Drosophila melanogaster: one gene and its partners. The protein of the gene in region 2 purifies or fractionates together with the protein of the main gene of each other region. This does not show direct contact. Each region holds a gene or a part of one and is shown on either strand. Other genes may lie near its edges. The genes, in order: Vamp7, Syx13, Vps45 and Snap29.

Region 1 (4,248 bases), on a different chromosome or scaffold from region 2:
GATTATCCACAGCCGATCCTCGGGCAAATAGTACCGCCCATTGCTCCCATATTCGACGACACAGCGGTACAAGCGAAGGAGCAGATCAGCCAAGAACACGGTGGCTACAATGCGAATAGAGGTGTCTGCAACGAATCACGACCGTAAAGATAATTTATGGCGTCCATCGGTCATCACTCACCAATATAATCTCCTATCATCTTTCGAAAATAAAAATATTTTCTGCCTTTTTCCGCGCGAACCGCGTTCCCCGCTTCGACAACGTTGCTAGCGATTGCCATTTCGTCTGCATACATATGTACGTCTCAAGGGTTGCCAGATCGATTTGGAGATCTCGCGAAAACTTCGCTGGAATTTCAAATGCCGTTAAATTATATATAAATTTGTTTATTGGGCTTGCATAGGTATACATAACTGAATTTGGGCTCCTAAATATTAATTACATTGCGTGCACATACAAATGCACATATTTATGTATGACGGAAGCAATGAAGGAACTACATTGTTATATCTTTTTATTATTATTTACTTTTGTGTTTGTTTATCAGGTATCAGATAAGATTTTATCAATATAGCCTCAAAGATTCGTTAATCAATTTGTATTCGAAATAAAACTTTAGGTAACAATGTCCGGTTCCGACTATCAGATACATATACAGACATGAAATCTGCTGACTGTAAAGCTCTCCGCCCTCTGGAACAAATATTCGTGAGAGCCGGAGCCAGCTCTAGACTCCTCCCAAAAACGCATATTGTTATTCTAGTGTCTTTGGTAAGAGGGTATACTAGATTCGTTGAAAAGTAAGTAACAGGTAGAAGGAAGCGTTCCCGGCCATGTAAAGTATATATATTCTTAATCAAGATCAAAATAATAAAAAATAACAAAGATAATTAAACATTAACAATGGTTAACCAATTGGTGGTTAATTAACCATCAACAATGGTTAACCATTACGCTCTTACTCTGCAACTTAAATACTGATAGCTACACCCTAAACGAATTATAAGATTTGATAAATGATCTTATTTAAGCATGCTTATTGTGTTCTAATATTAAATTCTATAGAAACCTTATCCTGTAAAAGGCTCAAAAAAGTGCAATCGTGCCATATTTGTGGCCAGAATAAATGAGAATTCTAAGTCTTTTAAAATAAGTAATTTTAAATCGAATATTTCGGCAGCATATGCGCATATTGAAACTACGTATATTGTATCTTGCGTGTGTACATAGTTTAAGTTATTACCTGCGGTTTTTTCTGTCAAAACGAATGGATCCAGGCTCAAAGATCTCAGGAGCAAAAGCTTGGGAACGCTATTAATTTAAATTTACTTTAATGGAAAATTCTTTGTCCGGGGAGAAGAATCTCAACTGGATGAACTGATGCTCTCGTCAATACTGAAACGCTATCGGTGGGATGCCCCTATTTAAGTTGCGGAGATCATTTAATTTAATAAGCAAATGCAAATAATCATAAGACCGTATAACATAATTTGTAAAACACGTTATGCAGTGTGACCGTGCGATAAAGCCAGACTTATCGGCTCCATTAAATATCGATGCGTCGATGTACCGTCCTTCCACCTCTAATTTTATAACTGCATCGAAGCGTCAGCAATTGTTGTTATTTGTAATGCAAAAATCGAGCTAATTCCACGGTATTGTGATGTTTTTATTGTGTTCGGCAAAAGCAATTGAAAATCGATAATAACTTAAGCCGCTTACCACAAAATGTAAATCTGCAGTTGCGCTATCAACTCGAGGCGGATCTAATTGGATAAACAAAGCAAGTACTTTGATATAACAATTTGCATATTACACATATATACGTATGTTACTCATAAACAGAGTTATTGTTCAGATTGATAGGCTCGCAATTGGATAGTAGTAGTTTCTAAATCGATATGTACATTTCTCAGAATCCGAGAGCACGTCATCATTGACGGATCGTCGGCTCATTCCCCGATAAGCAAAACAAAGCAGTAGCCTGAGGAGCTGAACAACCGCGCCCTTAGCAAAGGAGAATCTGTGGCACCATGCCGATACTATATAGTGTGATATCGCGGGGCACCACAGTGCTGGCGAAGTTTGCGGAGTGCGTCGGCAACTTTGCCGAAGTGACGGAGCACATAATCGGACGGATCGGGGTGCATAACCACAAGATGACCTACACACACGGAGACTACCTGATCCACTACACCTGCGAGAACAAACTGGTCTACATGTGCATCACCGACAACGTGGGTGAACGAACCACTGGCCCAATTAGCCACCTCAGTTGCTTATTGCCCAATCGATAACGTATCGTTTCTTTGTAGGAGTTCGAACGGTCGCGGGCCTTCCTCTTCTTGGCGGATATCAAGCAGAAGTTTATCCAGACTTACGGCCTACAGGTGGCCACCGCCATCGCCTACTCCATGAACACCGAGTTCTCCAAGATCCTGGCCCAGCAGATGGTCTATTTCAGTCAGTCCCGGGAGGTGGACACCATTTCGCGAGTACATGGTCAGATTGACGAGCTTAAAGACATTATGGTTAAGAATATTGGTATGAAGGAAGGAAAATCCGTATGTTCTTTTTGTTTACTATTCCCTTTTCATCCCATTTGCAGACAGCTTGCGGGATCGCGGCGAGAAACTAGAGCTGCTCGTCAACAAGACCGAAAACTTGAGCAATAATGTAAGGTGATGCCAAGCAGAGACTTTTAAATGTGTTTTTCATTTGATCTCTCTTACAGTCCGTTGCATTCCGTAAGGCCTCCCGAAATTTGGCTCGTCAAATGTTTTGGAAGAACATCCGCGTCTACGTGGTGGTGGGTCTGGTGATAACCTTCATCGTTTACGTGATTGTGAGCATGGCCTGTGGTGGCCTCGCTTGGCAGTCCTGTGTTTAGGACAAGCTTTAAAGTTGTTTATATTGTTATAGGCTCATAACACATGTATATTTGCATATAAAACTCTACAGTACTCTCATCTATGTTCTATGTAATAAACTTCAATGTATACCGGATAAAGTGTTAGAAGAGATAATGGAATATTCACTTGTCCTCCACATACACGACGTCGTTGGCCTTCACCTTTCCCGGCAGCCGAAGTCCCATATGAACGCCCAGAGCCGGCGAACTGTAGTTGAACAAGCGATAGCTGTGGATTCCAGATATGAGGGTCGGGTTTTGTAAGTCGTACTTCTCAGATATTTCCATGGGTAGTGACTCACCTTCTGAGCGTTTTGAGAGGCTCTCCTTCGGAACTCCTCTCTGCGGTCTTCGCATTAATGTTGGTAAAAATACAGCGAGTGCATGGCGCCACCGTACGGAAAACAGCATCTTCGCCTATACGCACCCACTGCCAATTGTCCTCGGCATAGGGCTCATCAACATCCATTTTCAGTTCGAAGTTACCTCGGAACTGCAGTGCATCCACCGGATTCTTTAACCGAGTATTAAGATCGGCGACCGACGAAAGGTTCATCAGCATAAAGCTGGTGGCATCGTTAAAAGTGCCCTATGGAAAGAATTCAAATCAAGGGTGATCTGGGTCCTAACACTTCGAATTGCGCATCAGGAACATACCGAGTCCTCCTGTCTAATGAATGGCATGGACTTTAGGCGGGGATTGGTGCATCTCACTGGTTTCGGATAGGGATAGTGAACTAGCTTGAGGCCGCTCTCCTTCTTCAGGATGGCCTGGGAGAACCACGTGTTGATCCGATCTCCGCAGGGCATCACGTCTATGGAAACGCCCCAAACGGAAGTTTTCACATCCTTGCCAGGACCGTCCAGCTTCTCGAAGTCCAGCTCCAGGTCTGGCATGTCCTGGGCGCTGAACACAAGCTTGCTGGGCGACACCTTCTTCGACTTGATCTGGGTCATAAGCGGATACACCCGAGCCGTGATCATTTCGTTCTTTTCATTGACCACCATCAAGGTGCGATCCCTTATTCCCTCAAAGGACATGCTCAGTACATCGCAGTCGTACTCCACTCCGGGCTTCGAGATGTCCATAGGGGCACAGGACTTGACCGGAAAAAAGTGTATCCTCTCCACGGTGCCCACGCGTCGCCACTTTTGGGGAACCACATCGCGGGTCAGATGGCGGTACAGTAGGAAGCTAGCCCCGCCCACCGCCACCAGGCCCACGCCCACGGCCGCCAGGGTCTTGGGACTGAGGTCAAAGGTCGAGTTATTTCCGCCGGCTGCAGGATAATCCACGTTACTTAAGGATCTCCCAGCTAATCCCGGTTTTTCACTC
Region 2 (5,499 bases):
TGCACGGCATTTAAAAGAAAATGTTATCGTTCTTAGTAATTTGCATTCATTGTGAAACATACTGAATAAAATATTCAAGATTGTAAGACAATGTACTCTGCATTTGGCAACATTTAACTTTTTATAACATAAAATAGTTCATACTAACATTGAAAATGAATTTGTTCATTTAGTATAGCTTCTAATGAATGAATTTAGTATCAAATATTAGGTTCACCTGACCATCAATAGAAATGCAATCCTAAAACTCAGCGAGAACTACAAAATTTAAGTAACTTTCTTAATTTAGTAGACTGTTGAGAGATTGCAGATACTAACAACGCTTTAAAGCTCATATGCTCTGATATTAGGCGGATTTGTTAATCCTTTTGGCAATCTTAAGAGGAGAATTCGTTTCCTTTGGGTTCCAATCGATGCTATAACAAAGGAAATAGTTTTAGAAATGTTTTACTATACAATATGCAGGTCATTTGGTTATCAACAGAGTACTTATGCCTAGAGTAAGCTATTCCGCGGACTTGGCGGTACTGGCCGCCGCAGCCGCCTTCGCCTGGGAGGCGTGGTGCTTGGCCACCGCCTCCTGGGCCTTGCTCAACTGGATGTAGCCCTCGTGGGCGCGGGAGCGCAGTTCGCTCTCCACGCTCTTGTTGACCGACTTCGAAATAACGGACTTGATCTTCTGCGTCTCATTGAACTTGGCCTTTTTCGCCTGAATTGGCGCATCTGTAAATTAATAAAACAAAAACATAGAATTTGGAGAAGATTGTTAAGCATGTGGGTAATCACTTGATCGACGGGTGAAAGCAGCTTGCTTTTGGTTCTTCTTTTTCTGTATCGCTGCTGGTAGCTTGGCCTTCTTGAATTTTCCCTGTGGCATCTTTACAAATGACAAATTTTTATCAAGAAAACGAAATATAAATGTTTTGCTGTGCAGCACGTTGTTTTGGTTTTGCCCCACACCGATAAGTCTATCGATTACGTCCTATCAATTTAAGCGGACTGCCAACCTATTGCATCCTCTTTGAGCCACTTGGCGCGCTTTTCAAATCACTCAAATTGGTTTGTTCGGTTTATTTTATTTTCGATTGCTGGCTCACTTATATATAACTTGTAACATATATCAAAAGGGAATACTAAAGCCGCAGACGGCTTCAGCAATCCGCCTTCCGCTTTCTCGAAACTAAACACAAAAATTTTACAAATTTCAATGCAAAACTCAGATTGCTCGCGATAATCGTTTTTAACAAGAAATAATTAACATTTAAAAGCGCTGAATATTGTTTATATGCAAGTTAAGTGGGATTCAGTATCCTTATTTACTTATGTATATATATGTAGATATATATGTATAATTATAAATATGGTATTTGTTTTTATTTTTTGCTTTAGCTTTTCCTCTACATTCTTGTTGTCTTTGCTCACTTGGTGATTAAACAGAGTTCTCAACGATCGAATATTTTGTTTCTTATAAAAATCGTTTTACAAAAATCTATGCGTGTGTGTGTGTGTGGGTTGTGTATGTTTGCGTGTGTTTGTTGAATATGGGCGTAAAAATAAAACAATTAACTGTTCAGTTTGGCAACGATAACGCCAGTTACGATTAAACCTATTATCACAGCGATCACCAGGAGTATCAAGATCTTGCGCCGGTAGCTCTGGCGACTCCTGGCCGCCTTGGCCAGTTCCGAGGTGCCATCCTCAACGTTGGCGGCCGTCTGCTCAATACTGTTCTCGATGAAATCTGGAAAGAAATTGAGATTTGCTTAGAAAGTGTAATCAAAAACAAGTACAAAAACCTTCCATCAAGCAAGCACCTAGAAATTTTCAAAACTATTACTAATAAGGAGTGAAAAATTTTGGATATTTAAACCTGTAATAGCAGTCAGTAAATATTTTATAATATTTGCTTGCTCTTATCAGTTTCTTCTTATTTTTGTAAGACCCGAAATAATTGATTACTGTTCAAATAAACAGGAAGTTAAATTAAACGATATGATAAGCGTATGCACACATTACTTGCCAAATGACACGGGTTTTCATAAAAGATATGGAAAATTAAAACGTCTAAGTCGTTGTTGATAATTCCAATCAATTTCGAAATGTGCATTGTTATTGAAGCAAAGTCAATGATTCATAATTTCTTGCACATGTTTACTTATCAACTCATTTGAGAGATTTGCTATGCAACCTTTAAGCAACTGATAAGCTCTGAATATTTTGTTTTACCAATGGATTTCTCCATTTGGACGCTATTAAATATGTGGAACTGCGTGCATTTGGGTCGTAAAGTGAGAGCCCTAATTACGGCTTGTGGTTTCTCGATTTGCGGTCGTTGAGCCCCACTTGGATGGAGATTACTCACCCATCTGCTGCCCCTGATCGTGCACCAGTCCACTCAGCTGGGTCATGATCTGGTTGACATCGATGATGTCCGACTCTATTTGCTCGACCTGCCGCCGCCGATCGTCGAGCATGTCGTGCTCCTGCTGGAGATGGGCCTGCTCCAAGCGCTGTTGCTGCAGCAGCTCAGCACGGGCGTTGGTCTCCACCACCTGATCGGCAAATTGCTGCGCCTGCTGCAGGGTCTGCCGCATGGCCGATGAGATGCGTCGCTGCAGATTGGAGTACTTCTCCACCACGCCATGGAACTCCCGGGTGAGCTTCTCCAGCTGCAGCTTCTGCTGGCGATCTCCGTGCCGCACAACGGCCTGTAGCCTCTGCAAGTCCTGACTGGTGGTCTGCACCCGGGCATTGCACTTGGTGTTGATGGTGTGCACCTTCTCCCGCAGATTTGGCTGCTCCTTGGATGTGCCAATCAGTTTCAGCTGCTTCTCCAACTGCTTGGTGCTGCTGTGGATGGCAGTGATGTTGTGGCCAATGTCCTCACTAAGAGACATGAATTCCGTCGGACTGAAGCCGGACGAACCGCCGGCTGCCGCAAAGCTCACTTCGGGCGTTGAATCGGCCATCGCACCATAGTCCCGATGGGGGCCACCGCCTCCTCCGTTGCCACCGGGATTGTTCAAGGCCTTGGACATATCTGTAAGTGCATATGTATCGCTGTGAGTTCAAAGCAGGGGTCTTGCTAAATAGGCCGACATTTAATACCACTCGCGAGCAAACAGACAAATCCCTACAAATGATTCACATGCATTGTTGTTCTTGTTGTTCTTGCTGCTGCTGTTGTTGTTGTTGTCGCCAACTTATCAACATATGATGTTCGCCCGTGTGCGTATGTGTCGGTGTGCATCGGTGTGTGCAGCGCATCGTTGTATGGGTGGCCAGCATTTTCGTGTTTTCTTCTTCGCATATGATTTGCTTTTGGGGGCGGGGGCTCTGCTAGGGCTTCCGCCCAGCGGCGGAATGCGCCACCGGGATGGTCGGGTACTTACTTCGAAGCGAGTTCTGATCCGGGGACGCACAATGTTCGCGCACAAAGCCTTTCACCACACGAAATACAATGATAATTCTCTGCAGCAGAAGCAGCAGCCCACTGAGCAGTGTGACCGGAGCTTTCGCAGCGGCCGTTCTATCGATGCTGGGGGCGGGTTATCGATTATTTGGGCGCCAACTCCAGCCCCCACGCACCACAGAGGGGTTAAAACTCACCCCCCCCCCCCCCGTAAAATAAATGAATTCCTTTTTTCAATAATCTATTGCCCTTTTTTTATGATATGAATGAAATAAGTGAGATGAAGACGTAAACAAGAATAACACAATCATCATCATAAATTGAAATTTAAGTCCTCATTAAAATCTGCTTTTGAAATATTTACTTAACAAACGCAACTTTTGAATTCGTGTCATAGATAAAACTAGTCTTTCAAGCTCTGAAATGTCAATTTTGAGGGTAGTTTTACTTTACGTCCAGTTCTAAGGCATTGTGAATTGATTTTAAAGTTCCTATAAAGTCACGTTTGAATAGCTTTAAGTCACGTCACACATGTCCCATGTTTTTTTTTTTACACATTTCAAAGCAAACATCTGATTCTTTAAACTCTTGGCCAACAAATAGATCAACCACTTCCATTGCAAAAGAAAACACATGTGTTACGTTCTCGGCTTGTAATTCCGTAGCTAAACGTACAGAGTGTTATGCTAAAAGGTAAAAGTCCTTAAACTCCTGCGCCTTAGTGGGTCTTGGCGGCCAGACGCTTGTCGCGCTCCTCCGCAATGCTCAGCTTGACACCCTTGCCCTTAGGCAGGGAGATGTAGGGCTTGTTGCCCTTGCCAATGATGAACACGTTGGTCAAACGGGTGGCGAACACATGACCTTGCGAGTCCTTAATGTGCACAATGTCGAAGGAACCGGGATGACGCTCACGGTTGACAACGGTGCCGACACGTCCCAAATTCCTGCCTCCGGTGATCATGCAGAGGTTGCCTGTGGAGACGGAGAAATATACCAGTTAGTTGGAATCATACGACTTGGTTAATAATATTGGGCGACTGTCATTGCACGTAAAAGTTACTGAAGCGACTTTGGAATGCCGCATCAGAGACCGTCGTGACAAAAATTGCTTTTGGCTTATTGTTTTTGAACCACGCAACTTTCGAGGAGCGTTTTGTGGTCTTCGAACCAGCCAATGAACACGATGATCTACGATAGCGGATGCTTACCAGAATCGAACTTAATGTAGTCGGTGATCTTGCCAGAGGCAATGTCCACCTGCACGGAATCGTTGGCGTGGATCAGGGGATCCGGGTAGCGGATGGTGCGACCGTCGTGTGTAACCAGGAAAGGAACTCCCTTGGCTCCCAGCTGGGTCTTCTTGACCTTGCACAACTTGTACTGCAAAAGAAGCAAAGAAAATGTGGGTTAATTTTAAGACGTTTTATTTCTACACAATTGCACTACCACTTTCATTTAATTGCATTGTAATTGCACGTAAAAGTTACTCAGACGACTGTGGAATGCCGAATCAGAGACCGTCGTATCAAAAATTGCTTTGGGCTTCGATTTGAACCAATAGACACATGGCAACAAGCGGAAATCGGTCTTCGACGTAGCCCACAGAATTACAATATAATGCTTTATACTCCTTGGTTTCTTTTGTAATTGCACGTAAAAGTTACTGAATCAACTGGGATTTGTCGAATCAGAGACCGTCGTATCAAAAATTGCTTTGGGCTTCGTTTTGAACCAATCGGCGCACTATTCTACACGCAAAACGGTCTTCGACAAAGCCCTTTCGATATTTAAGTTAATTACTTTCGGTAATTAGCATAAAGATTGATTTTGTATTCCAAAATAGGTGAACTATTTATGTTTTAAAGATGAAGTTAGATGAATCTAATTCAAGTGCTCTTGCATGAAAAGAATTCCTAGTTGAGGATGAAACCTCAGTTAATAATTTTAGATTTTAACTCCATGGTTGGAAAGCGGGAACCTCTGGAAGCACAGACTAGATAACTCACCTTGGCCTCCTCGGCGGAGATGCGGTGGATGACGAAGCGTCCCTTCACGTCGTAGACCAGACGGAAGAACTCACCGGTCTT
Region 3 (5,074 bases), on a different chromosome or scaffold from region 2:
GTCTGGAGCCAACAGAAGACATTGAACCAGAACTATCGAATAAGCTCCATCAAGTCAAGAGTAAAGAACTACAAATTTCAGCCAAAAATACCCACCTGGTTGTAAATCCCACGCCATGCCGCAAACGCTCCCATGGCCAAGACGGCTCCCACGCCGGCTACTATTTTGGTGTTCAGCTCGGAGTCTAGGAACTTGCGCTCCGAGGCCGTCAGACTGGCCTCCGTGCCACTGGGTGTCTTTGTGAGCTTGACGGAACTGTATCCCTCGATGCGGAATATGTCCTTCGTGATGCGGTTGATAAAGTTCACTAGGTTTTGGCAGCCCTTAATGTGATTCTGCAGTGGATTGTTAGGCAGTGCGATCTTAAAGATGATGGCAAGATAGCTGTAGACAATGGCATCAAACTCGCTGTAGGTGTCGCCAAAGAACCACACCTTGCGACCCAATTTCCGGGAGAGCAGGTTCACCACTTTTTTGGCATTGACAACGAGCTGTAAAGTAAAATGATTAATTGATAGTTAAAGAAACGTCTTGCTTTTCACAACATTGATAAGATATATTGATAACAAAAGACCAATACATGAGAAACTGTTTCTTATTAATATAAACTGATGAAACGTTTCCAATCGAAATGCAGCTTGGGTGTAAAACATAGGTTAGATAAACAAATTAAAAAATCCTCGGATTTAAAGATACAATAATGTAATATGAGACAATATGAAATTGAAAGCACTCACGTAGTCGCCTTCGTGCTTGTCCAACTTGTCGTTCACATCGAAACCGGCCATCACCTGAACCACGTCGCAGGCTTCCCTTTGGTAGGACGACGGGTAGTAGAAGTTGAAGGGGAATGGCGTGCGCTTGGCGTAGAGGCCCCGCGTGGTTGTGTCAAAATTGTGAGGCTCTCCAAACAGGAAGTAGTGGTAGTAGGCATGCAGATTGGTGAACACCCAGTTGGCGTAGGCGGTGGACAAATGCTTTTGTTTAGTGCTTAAATGCGCATCTATCGGGTAACCCTGAAAGAATACGTCGAATTAAGCCCATAAAAAAACACATATCTATAAATAGAGCCTGCAGTTTGTTCACCCCGGCATTGTTTTGCTCACTCACCTCGAGATCCAGCACGCGCTTAATTTGCCTATAGCCCGCGAACTTCTGGTTGCCGATCTGCAGATACGGCAGCTTCCCGGCTCCCGAACGCAGCGGATTGGAGCTGGTCTGCACGTCCATGGGGCAGCGGGTGAATCGCAGGAGGCACTGTTTCCGGCAAAGAGGCGCTTTCATCAGTTTCTTTCATCATCTGCGATAATGGGCAAAACAGGCGTGCTGGCCGCCGTGTGATGCAACGGAACTTACCAGAGCACGTAAACATTCAAAATCTATGGACGGCAGTCCGTACTCCCCCTTGTACACATACAGCATGGCTCCCAGTTGCATCTCCATTGTGTCCTAGTCTATGCTTTGCTCGTACTCTTGTATTTAGCCGGTTTTCAACAGTCCACCTGCATATCAGCCATCCGAATTTGAATCCAAAAATATATGCCAGAATTTCTGGCCGACTGCTGCGAGTGCTTCAGACTGATAACTACTGGGCACTCGATATATCGCTCGAGCATATCGGCGCTTTATCGATTGCCGGCCAGGGATGTTGCTACTCGAAGTTTATTTTGGCTAATGAAAAGATACGGAATTATGTTTGAGCTTAATTGCTATTTATGTTTATCTTTATTGCTATTTTTATTATACTACCAAAAAATTGTAAGTTTTTATCTATATGCATTTTTACATATTCACATTATTTTACATTAGCTAGATCTAGCGAATGTTACCCAAATGTTTGGTCACCGCTGTTATCACGGAGCTATCGCAATTGGGGCATCTCCAACCCATCTGTTTGCGAAAAAAAACATTAATTTCTGATTTTCGCAGTAAATTAGTTAGCAGTCATGAATCTGATAAGCGGCATTAAGTTGTACATCGAGAAAATGTGCTCCGAGTCGGGACCGGGCATGAAAATCATTCTGCTGGACAAGGAGACGGTAAGTGCAAGGACTGACAATCAAATCCCCTGCCATATGATCAAAAATTCACATCATTCGCAGACCAGTATAATTTCGATGGCCTTTAGCCAATCGGACATGCTGCAACGGGAGGTGTACCTATTTGAGCGCCTGGACTCGGGAAGATCCAACGAGCGGTTAAAGTATCTAAAATGCATCGTCTTTATACGCCCCACCAAGCAGAACATCCAGCTACTGGCCAACGAGTTGCGGAACCCCAAATACAGCGCCTACTACATTTGTAAGTGGGTCAGTAGAAGCACCTTCGGAATAGTACTAAACTCATAAATAGATTTCAGCAACATCATTCCCCGGACGGACATTAAATACTTGGCAGAGTGCGACGAATCCGAATCGGTGCGAGAAGTGAAGGAACTGTATGCAGACTACCTGTGCGTCAACCCCAATCTGTTCTCATTAGGCATTCCCAATTGCATGGCGAATCTTAATTGGCTGCCGGACGCTCTCAACCGCAGCATGCAGGGCATCACAGCCGTGCTGTTGTCCCTTAAGCTGAACCCAGTGATCCGGTACCGAGCCGGTTCTCAGGCAGCGCAGCTTCTGGCCAAGCTCATATACGAGCAAATCACAAAAGAGTCCTCGCTATTCGACTTTCGCTCCAACATGGATGGCGCTGCGCCACCGCTGCTGCTTGTGCTGGACCGCAGGGACGATCCTGTGACGCCGCTTTTGCATCAGTGGACATACCAGGCCATGGTGCATGAGTTGCTGCACATAAAAAACAATCGATTGGACCTGTCCAATTGCCCCAATGTGCCGAAAGACTTCAAGGAGCTGGTCTTATCCGGTGATCAGGATGACTTCTATGGCAACAACATGTACGCCAACTACGGCGAAATCGGATCTACCATCAAACAACTGATGGAGGAGTTCCAGCGCAAGGCGAACGACCACAAGAAAGTGGAGAGCATAGCAGACATGAAGAACTTTATTGAGTCATATCCGCAGTTTAAAAAAATGTCTGGCACTGTGCAAAAGCATTTGTGTGTGATTGGAGAACTGTCGGCGCTGAGCAACAAGAGGAATCTCTTCGAGGTTTCCGAACTTGAACAGGAGATCGCTTGCAAGGCGGAGCACTCGGCCCAGCTGCAGAGAATCAAAAAACTAATTGCCGACGAACGGGTTTCCATCGATGATGCTCTTAAGTTGGTGGCACTTTATGCATTGCGATACGAGCGACACGCCAACTGCGACACATCTGGACTGCTGCAAATAATCAAAACGCGCGGTGGACGAGCGGCTATAGTGCCATCGTTGATTGAGTATGCTGGAACCCATGTACGACAAGGAGATCTCTTCAATATGGTGCGGATAACGGACGCCGTAAAGCTGACACGGAATTTGATTAAGGGCCTTAAGGGTGTGGAAAATGTCTTCACACAGCACACTCCTCTCCTGAAGGAAACTTTGGAGGACGTGTTTAAGGGCCGCGAGCTGGATCCCCTCTTCCCGGCCATCAATTCAGAGCTTGTGCCATTTCGACGACCACCGCAGGAGGTTGTCGTGTTCATTATTGGCGGTGCCACGTACGAGGAAGCCTTAGCGGTGCACCAGTTAAACAACGCCGGCTATAAAGTCATTCTTGGCGGCACCACCATCCATAACTCGCAGAGTTTTATCCAAGAGGTCGTGGCCGCCACTAGTGGCATTCAGTTTAAGCACACCAAATCCATGATCAAGTACTGTTCCACGGATAACATTTAAAGTCTATTTTGACTAGATAGCCCCAATTATATTGTTAACTATTTATTAACTAAATATGAATGTGCATTATGTATTAAGGTATTCCATGCATTGTACCAATTCAAATCCATTGGACTATTTAACCTTTTAAGCGTAACCATGTAAACATATTTATTGTTATTCTCGAGGGTAACACCAGGCAACGCCTTGGACAAAATGTATTATATACAACTATGTGTGTACAAAATTACTAAACTCTCGTTGTCCTTGCAATAATTCCACCCCGTTTCGGCAAAAAGTTCCTTGGCAACTCCCAGGCAACGTTTCGTTTGGCTCAAACAAGAATCTGATTTTTCATTGGAGGAGTATCATTGACCATCATGTCCAGCACATATTTCAATGATATCTGGCACCAATCCCAGCATGAATGCGAGCTTCTATCCACGATTGACTATGAGAGGCAGCACCAGGATGTGGAGACGACGGTGGCCACCATGAATGCAGCGGTCGGATCCGTCGCCGCCGATGCGGATGCCAAGGCCTTGCTGCAGTCCAGTCTGTACGAGTTCTATCTGCGCTACATATGTCTGAGCAATCGTTTGGAGGATGTCTATGATAATGTGGGTATACGACTTTCTTAAACAAAAGTGGGATATATATAAGGAGATGATATATCCTTTGACTCTGGTTTACTTCTCATCTTTCATCATAGATGATTCAGCCTCAGAAGCGCCAGTTGGTGCGTAAATTACTAGACGCCTGTCTGGGTCGAGTGGTGGAGCTGAAGCACGATCTCGTAAATATCGACTTGATGGAATTTAGCTACAACGACGAGGTGGTGGAACGCCTGCGCCTGACGCCCATGGAAACGGAGCTGAGGATACCACGCTACTTTCTGCGCGAGCGTCAGCAGGAGCTAGAGTTTCGAAAGAAGACCATGCATGAGATCCTAACGAAGCTGGGTTGGCTTGAGGAGCACGAGCTGGAGGAGACGGTTACCACCGAGATCGAAGCCATTAGGATGCTTCAAATGCACGAGCGAGCGCGACAAGGACGCTTGCGTGCCCACTTCATGAAGGAGATTCGCATCCTAAAGGAGAAGGGCAAGTCGGAGGAGCGCACCGAAAAGGAGCGCAGTGACTCTGGTCTTTTGGCTGCCATGAAGATTCAGAAGATGTGGCGTGGCCACACAGCCCGACGGATAACGCGGCGCCGCAAAATGGAGGAGATGATCCTAATCGGAATGCTGCCACCACCGCCGGCTGTGGTTAAGGAACGAGCCGAGAAGCTGGAGAAGCTGCAACACAACG
Region 4 (4,342 bases), on a different chromosome or scaffold from region 2:
GCATCTCCTATGAGCGAGTAGTCAATTACCTCCACTTTAAAGAGCGCATCCGCCTTGGGCTTGATCCGCGGAGGGCAACCGAGTTCTCCGAAAAGCAGCTTGTAGGAGATTATAAACTCGGCCTGCTCGTAAGGACGCATGCTGCGGACGGCGACCTCCAGGCCTTCAACCACCGTTCCCTGGCCAGTTTCAAACACGAATTTGCTGCCCCGCAGCAGGGAGGAGTCGAAGGGAGCGGTCTCGCCCTCCCAGTAGCCACTGTACCGAACCGAGACCCTAGCCTTGTTCGGCACCGCCTCCCGATCCACGTGACCGGTGCGAGTGATCCGCTTGTAAATGTTTTCGTCGATCTCGCTCATCAGCGCACGCAGTTCGTCGAATGAATATGTCCACGGTGAACGTAGCTCCTCGCCGTCCACGTCCAGCGCATCCTCGTAGTCGCTGTCGCTGTCGCTGTCGAGACCCAGATCCCTGGCATGGTTCTGCTGCGAATTGTCGACCTCGAACTCAACGCCCTTTTTCACGAGATCCCTGCAGAATGAGTTGCACGTGGTCATGAGTGCCTTTAATATGTATCTTATTACTCACGAATAGGACAAGGGATTCTTGAGCAACTGTGGGGTGTACGGTTCGAAGTTTTCTTCCATTATCGCAAAATTTACAGAATATTTACGAAACGAATTCCGGAATGCGCTGAGTTGGCGCTATTCTTTTGGATGCGTTTGAGAAAAGAGCTTTCCAGCGATGGTATCAACTGGAATTCGATTGCTTGATAGCTTTAGCGAATCGATTGGTCGCTGTTGTCCGGAAGTTATCGAATTCAAACAAAGAACTATATATCTTTATTAGGGCGCGAGCACTGCAACTCGAGATATCTTCCGAAAATGTATAATGTATTCCAATCCAGACGGGGAAACACTAGGCCAGATATACTTGCTTTTTATATGAATCTTTATTTAAAACTGAACACTTATCGCTCTCCAACTACGAGCACTCCATTGAGAGAATTGTTTTGGTGTGTGTAACAATAAAAAACTAGGAAACATAATGAGGAATGCATTCTTAATGGCCTTGTGAAGTGCTCACCGTGCGATATGGTATGGCTAAGATTTGTATATTAAGGGAGGGCTATTCTAAGCAATGATCAATACAATAGTATGCGAATGCTCGCTTGTTCACTTCTTCAGAAGCTTGCTCATGTCCTTGTTCTGCTTGTGAATCTTCAAGTCGACATCCTCAATTTTGTAGTTCATGTTATCCAGCAATTCATTTTGCGACTCAATTTCGCCACCCAGATCGGTGGCCAGCATCTTCAGCACCGACAGGTTGCTGCACATCTCCTCCAGATTGGAATCGATCTGGGCCTGGAAGGGATTGGCCGCCTGTCGCTGGGGCTGGTAGGTGCTGCTGGGATCACCACGCAGCTGGCTAACCGGATGATTGTCGTAGCGCTCCGCTGGTGATAGCGGAGCCGAGGGGCTAGCACCGCCACAGGCACCCTGGTTAATGTTGCTATTGGCCTCCTGGGAGGACTGACTGCCCGTGGGCGAACCAGTCGCGGTGGGTGGTTGGTCCCTGTTGCCCGAAAGGTAGTTCTTGAGGCCGCCGAAGACACTCTTCAGACCAGTCAGATGGCGCTGGCTGAAGCGCAGCGTGGAGCTGATCTCGTCCAACTGATGTGATGTCTTCTCCAGTTGCTCCCGCTGCTTGGCCAGCTCCACGGCCGTCGCCTTACCCACCTCCTGGGTTTCGTAGAGCAGACCTGGGGGTTGTAGGAGAGAGACGCATCAATAACGCCCCTTAATTGGCTGGCAATTGACCCCATGTTTACCCAAGCTTTTGTTGGTAGAGTCCAGAGTTCGCTGCTCAATGGCCCTTCGCTTCTCAGCATAGGCCAGTCGCTGTGCGGCCACTGATGGCGACGAGGTTATCTCCTCTTCGTCATCGTCATCCATCTCGAAGGGATTGGTGCTCCTCTGCTGCGGAAGCTTGGCTGCTCCCGTCCGTTTGTTCTGCAGGAATAGGTCGTCGTCCACGTCCTCGAATCTGTCCACGTCATCGAAGTGATCGTGCACTGGCTGCAGGTAGTTATGGGCCATTTCTTGTGGCGAGGGAAACTTCCAAAATGTCGAATTTTGTTATGTTTTCGTAAACTTTTATTTTCTTTGTTGTTGTCTGGAGTTATCGATTGCAATAGCGATGGTACAAATGTAGTATTTGTATGCAGTTCAATCGACTTATAAATAGCTTGACATTGCAGAGGCTTCAATAAAATAAGTTATTATAATTAAAATGATTTTGAAGATACGATAAAAATTGAATTTGTATGTAAGAAAACTTGAAGCTTGATCTAATAAATAAAAAATCGTGTAACGAGCGAATACCGACCGAATCCCCCTACCGATGATCTAGCGGGGAATAAAGCGGCTTGCCATCTCCGATGGATATCGAACCAGCACTTCTGTCAATTTTCCAGCAGGCGTCGCAGTTTCTGTAACTTTTTGGAACTGACCAAGACGGAAGCTTTAGTTTAATTTAAGAAACTGTCGCAGCCGAACGTCACAGGTTTCAGGACACGAATCGGCGGAGCAAAGCACCAAAACATCACCACATGCATAGCACATCGTACTTTGTGGCCGCGACATGCGCGGCGCTGCTTCTGCTGGCGGCGACGGCGCAGTCGACGGCAGCAGCGCAGTCAGGACTGCAGCCAGGTGGCAAGTTAATCGAGTTGGACGAGGACAACTGGCACCTGATGCTCCAGGGCGAATGGATGATCGAGTTGTGAGTGCGAAAGGGTGGCTCTGAGTAGTCCCTACCCACATGAAACCCCGCTGCCCCTGACGTAACATAAAGGGGCGTGGTGCGCCGGCTTTCTCCAGCCGGCAAGCTGGTTCTTTCGTTCTCCGAAATACCAGACATTCCTTTGCGGCGACGATGACTCATCGGCAGCTGTGTTAAACATATGTTTCTCCCTCCATTCACAGCTTTGCTCCATGGTGCCCGGCCTGCAAGAACCTGGCTCCCACCTGGGAGCGGTTTGCCCGCGTGGCCAAGGATGTCCAGGTGCAGGTGGCCAAAATCGACGTGACAACCTCGCCCTCGCTGAGTGGACGCTTCTTTGTCACCGCCCTCCCCACCATCTACCAGTGAGCACCACATAGACCTTTTCAACCCATGAAATACACATCGTCGTAATCCACGTCAATCATTTCCAGCGTAAAAGATGGCGAGTTCCGGCAGTATCGTGGGGCCCGTGATGGCGACGCCCTCCTCTACTTCGTGAAGAAGCAGCAGTGGCAGAGCATCGAACCGCTGTCCGCCTGGAAGAAGCCCGACACCACCCACATGTCCGTGCTGTCCTACTTCTTCAAGCTTTCGCACACTCTGAAGGTACGTTCACCTAGCCCATTATCGCATCGGTTCACTGCATGAGACATAAGCGGAAGCTTATCAGCGGGTTGATCCCGTTGACCCACAAAAGATTGCCGCCCATCACTCATTACTCTGGTCTTTGCTCTCTGCTGTTGTCTTGTATGTTGGGTTCATGTACTAATAGCATACGCAAAAACTCTTTAAGGACTTCAACGGGCGCCTGCAGGAGGAATACGGACTGCCCACGTGGGGCTCCTACGCCCTCTTCGCCATCGCCACCATCTTCGTGGGCGCTGCCCTGGGGCTGCTGCTCGTGTGCCTTGTGGACTTTGTCTACCCACCCAAGAAGTCGCAGCGCCAGAGCTTCTCCGAGTCCCAGGACAATCTGACCGAGGGCCTGGAGGATTTGGCAACCGAGGAGATCGAGGATGATGGCGACGCCGAGGAGAACGATGACGAGCAACGCGATAGCGACGAGGAAGAACAGGAGGACGACGACGAAGAGGAAGAGGACAGCGAGGAGCAGGTGGGCGATCTGGCCACTAAAGAGAAGGAGGCCGACAGCGAGCCGGAAAAGGAAGAGAAGCCGGAGCCCAAGCAGGCCGGCGATGCTGCGCCCGAGAAGACGGAACAGGTGCGCAAGCGCAAGCCTCGCAAAGGCGATTAGGTGCAGCGGGGTCCCTGCGGATCTTCAGCCTTAGCGATCATCAGAAGCGGCAACAAAAAGACTAACACACTGAATCGAGAGGAACACAACCTCTTACCCAAGCATCATTCGAGCGGACATAATCCGTCTGCTCTGCCTTCGCGCACAAAACCGATTGTTTTCCCTCCTTCTAATCCTAGCCAGAAAACGGCGCCCCATGTATTTCATAATTATGTAAAGCAAAATTGCAATCCATTAAGCGATAGCAAGCGTAACAATAACTAAATGTAACTTTAGTCGTATATTTTTACCTTTTGCCAA

Evidence for each region.
Region 1: the proteins of Syx13 (region 2) and Vamp7 purify together in Drosophila melanogaster (affinity purification with western blotting; 2 studies listed by BioGRID, with this or other methods). This does not show direct contact.
Region 3: the proteins of Syx13 (region 2) and Vps45 purify together in Drosophila melanogaster (affinity purification with western blotting, with the first as the bait; one study listed by BioGRID). This does not show direct contact.
Region 4: the proteins of Syx13 (region 2) and Snap29 purify together in Drosophila melanogaster (affinity purification with western blotting; 2 studies listed by BioGRID, with this or other methods). This does not show direct contact.

Annotation. Positions count from the first base shown.
Region 1 is NT_033778.4:9,839,837-9,844,084, reverse strand, and holds Vamp7 (Vesicle-associated membrane protein 7), read left to right. Parts: upstream 1-1,582; 5' UTR 1,583-1,784; intron 1,785-1,859; exon of another isoform or gene 1,860-1,917; 5' UTR 1,918-2,034; coding exon 2,035-2,238; intron 2,239-2,316; coding exon 2,317-2,545; intron 2,546-2,609; coding exon 2,610-2,677; intron 2,678-2,735; coding exon 2,736-2,891; 3' UTR 2,892-3,005; downstream 3,006-4,248. Other genes in the region: sting, read right to left, coding at 1-125, 182-281; Marc (mitochondrial amidoxime reducing component), read right to left, coding at 3,036-3,141, 3,215-3,501, 3,570-4,192.
Region 2 is NT_037436.4:13,042,459-13,047,957, reverse strand, and holds Syx13 (syntaxin 13), read right to left. Parts: upstream 3,525-5,499; 5' UTR 3,393-3,524; intron 3,321-3,392; exon of another isoform or gene 3,109-3,320; intron 3,041-3,108; 5' UTR 3,039-3,040; coding exon 2,363-3,038; intron 1,742-2,362; coding exon 1,563-1,741; 3' UTR 1,064-1,562; downstream 1-1,063. Other genes in the region: CG11279 (uncharacterized protein), read right to left, coding at 506-723, 787-877; RpS4 (ribosomal protein S4), read right to left, coding at 4,131-4,384, 4,621-4,792, 5,419-5,499.
Region 3 is NT_033777.3:9,562,080-9,567,153, forward strand, and holds Vps45 (vacuolar protein sorting 45), read left to right. Parts: upstream 1-1,844; 5' UTR 1,845-1,946; coding exon 1,947-2,039; intron 2,040-2,102; coding exon 2,103-2,301; intron 2,302-2,352; coding exon 2,353-3,785; 3' UTR 3,786-4,013; downstream 4,014-5,074. Other genes in the region: CG9393 (uncharacterized protein), read right to left, coding at 96-491, 738-1,016, 1,111-1,257, 1,357-1,443; CG16789 (uncharacterized protein), read left to right, coding at 4,145-4,384, 4,477-5,074.
Region 4 is NT_033778.4:23,842,548-23,846,889, forward strand, and holds Snap29 (Synaptosomal-associated protein 29kDa), read right to left. Parts: upstream 2,217-4,342; 5' UTR 2,100-2,216; coding exon 1,832-2,099; intron 1,763-1,831; coding exon 1,176-1,762; 3' UTR 936-1,175; downstream 1-935. Other genes in the region: shu (shutdown), read right to left, coding at 1-531, 589-647; CG5554 (uncharacterized protein), read left to right, coding at 2,612-2,784, 2,988-3,149, 3,219-3,393, 3,560-4,042.